2 linked regions of the Saccharomyces cerevisiae S288C genome follow. The protein of the gene in region 2 binds, or shares a complex with, the protein of the main gene of each other region. Each region holds a gene or a part of one and is shown on either strand. Other genes may lie near its edges. A codon is read from its position in the direction of its gene.

What was found.
Region 1: the proteins of RAP1 (region 2) and RIF2 are in contact, whole or in part, in a crystal structure (PDB 4BJ5), measured with the Saccharomyces cerevisiae proteins. Residues at the interface, in NP_014183.1 of Saccharomyces cerevisiae: Ser692 (codon at 911), Phe693 (codon at 908), Pro694 (codon at 905), Lys696 (codon at 899), Thr700 (codon at 887), Pro705 (codon at 872), Leu706 (codon at 869), Phe708 (codon at 863), His709 (codon at 860), Phe710 (codon at 857), Gly711 (codon at 854), Ser712 (codon at 851), Gln715 (codon at 842), Asp742 (codon at 761), Arg747 (codon at 746), Lys748 (codon at 743); in NP_013558.3 of Saccharomyces cerevisiae: His68 (codon at 1,487), Gln72 (codon at 1,475), Lys75 (codon at 1,466), Ser76 (codon at 1,463), Leu79 (codon at 1,454), Gly83 (codon at 1,442), Phe342 (codon at 665), Asn343 (codon at 662), Thr346 (codon at 653), Glu347 (codon at 650), Val350 (codon at 641), Gln351 (codon at 638), Arg353 (codon at 632), Ala375 (codon at 566), Tyr376 (codon at 563), Asn377 (codon at 560), Gln382 (codon at 545), Arg383 (codon at 542), Leu384 (codon at 539), Pro385 (codon at 536), Leu386 (codon at 533), Lys387 (codon at 530), Leu388 (codon at 527).

What each region holds. Positions count from the first base shown.
Region 1 is NC_001144.5:1,041,299-1,044,739, forward strand, and holds RIF2 (Rif2p), read right to left. Parts: upstream 1,689-3,441; coding exon 501-1,688; downstream 1-500. Other genes in the region: GTPase-activating protein SST2, read right to left, coding at 1-68; FMP27 (Fmp27p), read left to right, coding at 2,700-3,441. UniProt on the Saccharomyces cerevisiae protein: Involved in transcriptional silencing and telomere length regulation. Its role in telomere length regulation results from either a block in elongation or promoting degradation of the telomere ends.
Region 2 is NC_001146.8:237,725-244,672, reverse strand, and holds RAP1 (DNA-binding transcription factor RAP1), read right to left. Parts: upstream 2,985-6,948; coding exon 501-2,984; downstream 1-500. Other genes in the region: IES2 (Ies2p), read right to left, coding at 1-205; PPN2 (putative serine/threonine-protein phosphatase), read right to left, coding at 3,362-4,342; ssDNA-dependent ATPase MGS1, read right to left, coding at 4,672-6,435. UniProt on the Saccharomyces cerevisiae protein: Essential regulatory protein in yeast whose DNA-binding sites are found at three types of chromosomal elements: promoters, silencers, and telomeres.

The DNA of each region.
Region 1 (3,441 bases), on a different chromosome or scaffold from region 2:
AGTCCATTCGGCGTTCTGCTGAAATTTTTGGAAGATAATTCATGCAACGTCCTATTTTTATCCACCATCTTACAACTCTATCTTTAATTACCAAATTGAACCTATAACGCCTCAGATAGTGCGTGCAAAACCTAGAAGGAACGTACGACAGTAACACCTCCAAAGTTAAAGGACGATGAGAAGTAAAGACAGAGCTGGGATTATGATTTCATTCACCGGTATAAATATAACAGGACAGACAACAATTCTAACGCACCAGCAACCAAATCCAAGTCCTAGTCAAAAAAAAAGCAGTATTGGGATCATTGTTTCAAAATTGAATATTATGAAACGTTTAAAACCCAGACATCCCATAATTATTGAAGATGATTCAGTTAAAACTTCGCATACTTCATGGCTTCTTCATTAATAGAGACAACGGAGGTGGTTCAACTTGAACTTTTCCAAAGGAGTTGCCATCTCTTTGTATTGTTCGAACTCTTTCAAAAGACCTTGGTAATTTATCTATCATGTACTTTTCGAGTTAACTTAAGTGGAAGACGCTGGTTTTTCTTAAAGTTATAAGCACTATGTGGGTAATTTTTTATTGTCAGTCTGTTTCTGATCTTATCCAACAATTCATCAAAAGTTCTACTCTGGACTATAATCTCAGTGTAAGCGTTAAACAAATAGGTAAAAGGGTGCGGAAAGACCTTCAAAAATTCGAAAAAGATTGCTAAGTTGGATTCTTTATTATTCAACTGGCATGTGACAAGCGAGTTGTAAGACTGTAATAACTTGCTTCCGGAATCAAAGGTAAACTTTATCATTTTTTTCAAATATTCTTGTTCTTGAGCGCATGTTAATATCGGCATCTCAAACACAGTATATTTTGTGTTGAGTTTCTTTTTGAGGGATGTCGATAGGAGAGACGAAATGCTAACGTTATTTGAATAAATGAGGACCTTAAATGCAATGTTATTACTTTTTTCAAGTACCGATAAAACATTGATAAATTCGGTAAGCTTCGAAGGTTCTATTATAGTTGAAGTAGATAATTTATCTAATTGTTCGAATTTGAAGTAGACAATATGATCGATACTTTCGTCATTATTTATTTTCCTCATAACCATCATCATTAGGTCAGACGTGTGATTTGAAGGTTTTTCACTAGCTTCGAAATCTAGTTGTCCGCTATATGAAGCCTGCCCCATTGACTCGATACATTCTTTTGATTTGCTTGATTGAATACCCTCTTTCATTAAGTAGTCATTCATTTCTATAATTACGACATTTATATCGACTAAAGACAGTGTTTCTGAAACTGCACGGTCGATACCAGCATATTGGTGTATATGTTCAACTTTGTCGAAGAAAACGATACAATTTTTCATACTCCTAAGATTTTTTGAAAGAAACTTACTTAAGCTCGGAACGTAGCTTATTGACAAATAATTGGTGCCTAGCTCTTGCAAGGCCATTGATTTGAACTTCTGGTAGAAAACATGGTCCACTCGCTCCTTAACTGGACTCGGCTTACACACCTTTGGGCTGCTAACACTTTTTTTAATTGGAACAAGGTTCAACTTTCTCAGTACAGTAAAATTTTTTTGCTCCAAATCATCGCTTATTGCTTTCACAATCTTGTCACTGTCAACAACCTTTTTCGATCTCCTTATAGGTGCAAAATCGGAATCTACATGCTCCATTGTCTCTATATACTAACCACGTTCGTATTTATATCTATATTCGTACATATATTGTTCTAACTTATTGAAATTGATGGTTAAGAAGATCCCTTCTGTACATATCTGTAAGCGCAATGTTTTCTTCATTGAAAACAGCTGCAAAATTAGAAAACTAAAATAATAACTTTCAAGATAACTAAGCCGGGTTGCCCTTTGACCTAGAAGCATCCCTTATAATAACATTATGTGTATGAAAACCATGTCAGCAAGAACGGTTACGGATATGGAGTGAAGCAAAATCTTTAAGGATTTATTTACATTGAAGAGGAGGAGGAAAAAAGAGCCATAAGGTAAAATTCAAATGCATAAATGAAACTGCCCTTCCTTTTATACTTCCTAACCTTTGCAGGAGAAAAATATATTAAGGACAAAAGAAAAATAGCCGCTATCATTTCCAACGCTCCGGGAAAAAGAGTGTCATAGAGACCCCTTATCTATTTTATCATTTTTAATATGATCTATTCTGGCATAAGTAGCTTCGGATCGATTAAGCGCTATTACAATTGAAGGAGTAACAAATTTTTGGGTGAAGTTTACCAATTTATTCAATTGATCAAATTTATGGAAGATCCTCAAGAAAAACATAAAATTAAAACCTTTATATCCAGAGTTTCAAATTTGTCAAGTTTTTGTTCCCGTTCACTCTTGTTCTGCATATTTTTCCTATTTTTTTGGCTTGTAACTCAAACATGAACTACATCACAAATATATCACGTTACACGGGAAATATACTTCCCATTGCATGGAAATTAAGACGGAAATAAGGGAGACATGAAAAAGGGTCTTGGTGGTGTTGCAGTTGGACAATTAAGCCATTCAATGCGATATAAACTATAAATCCCTTTTAAAAGGGCCTAGACATCTCAGAGACAAAGAACGGTAGCTATTACAAAGGACAGTAAAAGCAAACAGCTTTAAATTAGATCAGAACATAAGAATCCTTAGAAAAGCCCTTTACCTCGGTATATGTAGATGATGTTTCCGATTAATGTTCTACTGTACAAGTGGCTTATATTTGCAGTGACTTTCTTATGGAGCTGTAAAATTTTACTAAGGAAGCTTTTAGGAATAAATATAACATGGATTAACCTGTTTAAACTAGAAATATGCGGTTTATCCTTAGAAGATGGTACCGTCAGGCTAAAATCCGTTCGTTTTGCTGTATTTGAAAGAAAGCTTTTCATCAAGGGTCTACGAATTGATTCCAAGAAATCATCTACTAATGATCTTCATAAAGAATTACCAAGAGAGGAAGAAAGAACTTTTATAGAGACCCCCGAAGATAATGGTGGGGGCTTCATTTCTAAGATTCTTTCATTATCACAATACTGGCTCAATGGGGTCACGATCATTTTGGAAGATACGCAATTAGTCAACAACGATATCACGATTGAAAAATTTGGCTTTTTTCTTTCAATTGATAACTCTAAACATATCAAGTCACTAAGATTTGATTCCTTTTTGAGAAAACTTCTTTGGAATGGCCAGACCATCATTGCTGATGCCATTTTTATAGTGAATACAAACTTACTAATTGGTGAAATTATGAATCCTCTGAAGGATGGACTTCAAGTAGGATTAGATTTAAAACTAGGTGATTTAAATATTCCCATGAATTTATTGAATTTATTTATCAACAAGGAGAACGTTGATTTGATGTCCAATGAAAAACTTCTACAAAGATTGGCAGATACAACAAAGGCGAATGAAGAGC
Region 2 (6,948 bases):
CCACAGAAAGTTCTTTATCTCTAATGCGTTTTGAGGTTCTTACACCCTTAGGTACACTCCTACGTGCTGTTCTTCTAGATGATTTGGCTGTGACTATCTGATCGTCAATATCTTCCGTATAATCATCATCGTCAATGTATTCTTCCCCACCAGCTGAGACGCTGTCGGATAACTCTGCCTCAATGTCACTTGCTTCACTGTCCATTGTAGTCTGCTAATCGCCAGTTATTTGCTAGTTAGGCGTTTTATCCTTGAAGAAAAGACACGTTAAAAATGAGAATCTTCGTTCTGCGTTATACTTTCCTCCTTTTCTTCTCTCTTTTTTGCTAATGGGATTCTATAAAACTGTTCCGCCTTAATCATTGTAAGAATTTTGAAAATTAAAATACGTAAAAGTTTACATAAATTATACATTGAACTGAAAAACAAAGTAGAAAACGTGAATCAGTGAAATAAAGGAGTAAAATAAGTTAAACAATGATGTTACTTAATTCAATTACTCATAACAGGTCCTTCTCAAAAAATCTTTTCCTCATTTCCATTCTACCAGTTCCATGCTTTTTAACCAGTTTCCTTATTTGTTCTTGATCATTGCTTTTTAGCGATTCGTCGTCATCATGTGTCCAAATACCAGGAACGTTGGGAGGAGGATTAACATTGTCCTTAAACATGTTCAAGAAATAGCGAGGAAAGACCATCAGATCCCCGGATAAACACGTCAATATGCTCGTACTGAAATTTTTACGTATACCAGTTTCATCGCAAAGATCCTGTACCAGTTTTTCAGCCTGTGATGGCTCATAATCTCCTGAAATAACTTCATGAAGTTTATCCATAAATTGTCTCGTACTGCCAAAATGAAAGAACAATGGCAGGAAAAGATCTGTTGTTGCAATTTTTGGTGGAAAGCTTATGGTATCAGGATCAATATTATCATATATATCTTCATTCGAAAAATCGCTTCTTATAGCTTCCGCAATCTCGTGTGGATACTCAAAGGGCAAACTATTTGAAATATTGGATAGATCATTCTTTAAACTGGAAATGAAATTCATGGTATCTTCGTCCAGTAATTCGTTTTCTGGTATAGCGTAAGAGTTGGAAGCAGCGGCAGCAGCAGCGGCAGCAGCATTAGCGGACGCTGCATTGGCAGTAGGCTGAACATTTCTTTGAGAACTATAATTTCTTGCCCTCTTGGCGGCAGAGTTATAATTGCCAGGAGTGGGAACGCCAGGCCTCTTGGGTCTATTGGTGAGGTTCTTCATCGGTTCCGGCTCTCTATTCTGAGCTTTTTCAGCTTCATAATAACTAATATAATCATCAATGCCGTAAGCGAGAAGAAACTTCCTAAACCTATCTCTCCAAGCATTCTCAGTATGTGCTGCATGCTCTTCGGCAAAATGCTTGAAAAATTCTCGTGCAATCGGTCCCCTACGGCTTTGGGTTCTGTAAGCTGCAAAGTTGGGTTCACTCCCTGGCACATGATTTGGATCCATTGTCATATTCCTCCTCGCTATAGCAGTGGGTGTATCCTCATCTGTGATAAGTGATCTTCCAGTATCAGGGTCGATTTGAAACAAATCACGATAAAACTGCTTCTTGACCGCGATTGCCAAAGTGTAATCTTCATCTGCTGAAAATTTCCTTTTAATTGATGGTGGCAAAACTTTAGTCTTTATCAGATTTCCATCGTCGTCTCTAACCAATTTACCAAACTTGTCAACCTCATAAACGTACTCTAGTCTTTTGGAAAGATAGACTCTAAATCGGTGCCTAATAGAATTACCCGTGTGGTTAGGCACATAATGGGATATTTCATCGTAAAGAGTATGTGTTGTACGCCTGGTTGGATTTTTTCTCACAACATCCAAAATAAACTCATCTTCCTCATCTGTAAAAGAAGCTTTATTGTGGGAGGGCAAAGCGCCTCTCGAAATCATGGACCTTTGTGCTTGAAAAGATGCATTCCCCTCATCTGCTGTTTGAGGGTTGTTGTCCTGTGTCAAAAGATCATTGTCTTCGTCGTTGACGTTGCTATTATTATTATTGGAGGTATCTTTTTGAGGTTGTTCGATCTGGACCAAGTCATTGTGCCCTCCGCTTGTGATTGATGCGGTGCTGCTTACATGTTGACGAAGGAGCTGAGCTTGCTCTTGTAATCTAGCTTGTTGTTCAGCGTCTACCATAACTTTTTCGCTGGTTGAGTCTTCCGTAGCGCCATTAGTATTCGTAGAGATTATTTCTGTTTTGGGCCTGATAGAATCCTTGTTATCGCTATTGCTATTGCTATTATCTACACCATTAGAATGCGATTCCTCCTGCAACCTACTATCGACAACTTCTCTAAAGTTATCGTATGGTACTAAATAATTTTCCATGTTCAGTAGCGAGTTGCTTTGACAACATGCCTTAATATAAGTCGGAGTTACCGTTGGTAAATTGGTATGATTATAGGGTGACACGATGAAAACATTCTCTTTTGATTCTCTTGGCTTGGAGTCTAGCACTTCACCACCGTTTGCTCTAATCAGACGCGCTAATTGATCAATATCATTTAAAGAGTCATGCGCATCCGCGTCGCGATTAAGATAGAATTTCATATTTGACAGAGGAGGACCACTTACTTGTTCCTTTTTCTCATCAGCAGCGGTGTCATCAGTAGTAGGTTCAGTAACAGATGCACCTGATGTCGAAGCAATGTTAGCGGTAGCAGCAGTATCAGCAATGGAAGGCGTGGTAGTTGTTACACCGACTTCAGTGGTATCATCATCATCTTTCTTTTCGACCTCCGTCTGATCCACTTTCTCACTAGTTTCAGCAGCAGTAGCACCAGTGTTTTCTTCGTTTTGATTAGCTTTTACCTCAGCGGCTGAATCCGATGGCGCTGTGACTGCAGCAGAACCACTGTCAACAACGACCATACTCGGATCCAATGCATCAACATATTCTGCTGGTGCAGTTTCAAAATCATCTGGACTAGACATATTGAGATAATCTGTACGCAAATAGTGTCTTATGTAGGGCGGTTGCGTATACAACGGTTTGTGTTTACTACCTTTTGGGCTATGGGTTTGTTTTGTTTAAAACGTGTATTGATGGTGTTTAGGTGCTGGATGTTGGGTGTTGAAGAAATGATTGCGGTTGTCTGTTTTCGGTTTTGTTTTCTTTTCTCGCTAAATTTTAAAACTTCAACAACGAAGAAGAGGCGGGTAGCGGCCATTGGGCAAGAATACTTGTAGCTCCAGCGAAAGTTTCATTGAAATTTAAGATTCAGTATTATGAGTTACATAATAATATTCATATCTTTTTCATATAGTACATTATATAAAATCTGTTGCGCTTTTAAGTAGTACTTTTTGTTTTAAGAGCATTGTACTTGAATTAATTCATAGTCATATTGCCCCTTCTTAATATCGTACTTCACTTTCATAGATGAAAGCAGATTGTTCTTTATACATGCTGTGTCCAAACCTTTGGTCTGTCTCCGTAGGTTTAGTCCCATGGATGCATCGTGCCCGTAAAATACTTTGGCGTTACTAAAGTGGTCTCCGTATTTGTCCCACAGTGTGTACCATCTCACATAATTCTTGTTTTCCTTTTCACGTGATGTTTTTGACCAGTTCTTCTTATCAACGTACTTCATGTTTGACAGAGAGCTCACGCCCGGAATTTGGTTGGGCTTCATGAAGTCTCCCGGAACCATCCCTGCATGTGCACCAAAGAGTATATCACCGGTAATATCCAGATCTAGTTCTATGGCCATAGAACAATGTTCCGCTAGCTGACTTAATTTGGAAAACCCAAGTTCGCGAGCTAACCGTCCATGTGCGTTGCTGATTTTAGAGATGTCTTGTGGTATGAAATTAGTCTCCGTACTGAAAGTTAAAGGTGTCATTAATTTGGGGCGTCTTACCCATTTCGAGAAGTCTGGGTTTAAATAGGCCATCATGACCAATATTTCATGATTGCCCAAAACGCACTTGACTTGATCCTTGTGATTTAGAATATACGACACGACCTTGTCTGAGTCCGGGCCCTTGTGAATAAAGTCACCCAGCAATATCATTGTTATATTTTCTCCTAGTCCTCCAATCTTGTCATCAATGAGTTCTATGAACTCATCATAGTTACCATGAACGTCACCAACAAAAACGTACTCCTTATTTAAATCTGTTACATGCTCAATTTTCTTCAAGGTGCTAATTGTAGGCAATAAGGAAACTGGTGGAGACAACCGAGGGTTATCAAACTTGAATATATATAGTGTATAAACGCAGCATGCCACAAATAATATCAATGCTGTACTAAGTGTAGCGGCTCGTCTTTTCCGCTTATCTTCCATTTTTGCGTATCTATGCTCCTCAAGCCTGGCTCATTTTACAAGCTGGAAGGTCGAGGAAAAGGAAGAACTAATTCAAGAATAATGTGCTCTTCTTATAGGATGCGTATATGTTCTAATATATCTCAGATGGGCCCGCGAGACTTTTCTAGCATGAAAAAAAAAGGTGGATCCTTGATTATCTAAAATTATAGTTTATATCGTTCATGCTGCACAAAAACGTGCCAGCAATGCAATGCGCCTCAAGCGTAAAAAAACAAGCGGCATTGGCCAACAGAGAAAAAAATATGAATTGTAGACGCGGCATTGAGAGAAGTATGGAAGACCCTTGACTAACCCTGATATGACTGTCTCAAGTCAGGATCTTCTTTGTCTCCTAAATGTTTGCCGTCCAGGAACTTTAAGTCAGTTTTATTTGGACATTTCTCGAGCACTTCTTTGGGAAAGTAGTCTTGTTGGACTTTTCCTTCAATATAATCGGGATTGTACTTGTAGCCTTTATGATAACCCAGCTCCTCCATCAATTTGGTTGGCGCATTTCTGATATGCATCGGTATCTCACTGCTTGCTAAACTGTACATGTTCTCGCTCATCATTGCCCTTAATTTCTTCCAAGCTCTATATAGTTCTACTGACTTTGGTGCCCTAGCCAAAGCAACACAACATTGCGCCAGTGCAAGGTCTGCCTCTGGCAAACCAACTTTCATTACTGCGTCATGTGCCGCGACAGCCAAGGGCAATAATGAACTATCCCGTAATCCGATATCTTCAGAAGCTATTCGAATCATTCTTCGGGCAACATACAATGGGTCCTCTCCTCCCTGCAACATTCTTGCTAAATAGTACAGTGAGGCGTTTTCGTCCCCACCTCTAATGGATTTATGAAACGCAGAGATTGTATCATAATGGTTATCTCCCTTTGGGTCATAGTATGTATTCAACCCGTTGCTGCTGTTGTTCTTAATTATGTCTCGTACATCATCGATAGATAATTCTTCCTCGTCGGCCTTGCGCTCTCTTGTTGAAACTTCGATCATTTCCAACATATTTAACGCCCTCCTTGTATCACCCACCGACAGATCTACCACGTACTCCAGTATGCTTCTAGACAATTTCAAAGGATTTTCAATATTCCATACTTGTTTCCTGCATTTATTCAATAATGCAATTCCTCTTGATAAAACAATACACAGTTCGTTGACATTCAGCTTTTCTAGGACAAAAATCAGACATCTGCTAATGAGAGCATTGTTCAGCTGAAAACTTGGATTTTCTGTCGTTGCACCAATCAAAATAATGTCACCGTTTTCTACGTGTGGCAATAACAAATCCTGTTGAACTTTATTGAATCTGTGAATTTCATCAATAAAAAGTACAGTTCTTCTTTTGGTCAATTGATATTCCTTTTTTGATTTTTCAAATATACCTCTCAATTCTTGCGTATTTGCCTTTGTCGCACTTGTTTCGATCATGAAGTACCTGGAACCAACATTTGATTCATTACTACTGGTTGTCGCAGTTTTCGTTAATAGTCTAGCTAGTGAAGTCTTTCCTACACCTGGAGGGCCCCAGAGTATCATAGATGGTATAGTCCCTTGTTTTATGTATTTGAACAATGTACCATTATCTTGAGAGAGAATGTGCTGCTGACCTACATAATCTCTTAATTCTTTTGGCCTCAATTTTTCACTAAGTGGCAAATGGCTTATTTTCTGCAACCATCTGCTTTCGTAATCGTTGTGAAGTTGATCTCTGCTCGAAGCAGGCTCCACTATTGATTTCGCAAAATCCGTGGATGGTGCTGCCTTAAATCTTTTGCTTTCATTTTCAACAATCTCAATATCATCACTCTCGCTCTTAAGACCTGGCTTAATTTCATGGTCCTTATTTTCAAGATCAATGAATTTCTCTGAGTTAGCTTGTTTCCTCTTTTTTGGGCCTGCCAAAAGACTTGACACCGTTTGTGGCCTACTCGAAGGCTTTGACTTTTCCTTGCCACATATGTCAAGATGAGAGTTGATTAAGGAAAAAAAGACTTTTCTAGAGCAAATTGGGCATGATATGAGCTGTTCTACAGATGTCCTCTTGTTACTCATTGAGACTGTGCGATCCTGTTTCAGATCTTACCGCTAGCGTTCTTCTGCTAATAAGCTATTTTTTACCTGTCGATGACCTACCTTAAAACACGTTTCGTTTAAGACAACGCGTACAGTTTCACAAGGAAAGCAACCGATGATTGAATGTCAATTAAAAAACAAAAAACAGATGTTAATTTTAACTGGGCTCTCAATATCAAACCGTTATAGTATATGATGTATCTAAACGACCACTTATCACTTGGATATGTTGTCAAATCCGTTTTGCTCTTGCGCATGTTATACCTACTTTTTACTATCTACGGCGGGCATCCTGACCCGGCTTATTTACTTGAAAATGCAACAATAAGTCCGTTACGCAATATTGAATTTTGATGAGAACCGTTCTGCGATATTCAGAACTGTCAATACAAGCTTGAAAAAGGGACAACTGGATATACAGGGGTGTTTTTGACACAATAGAGAATACTTTTTCGTTTTTATTGTACCATTACGGCTACTCAACGAGATTTC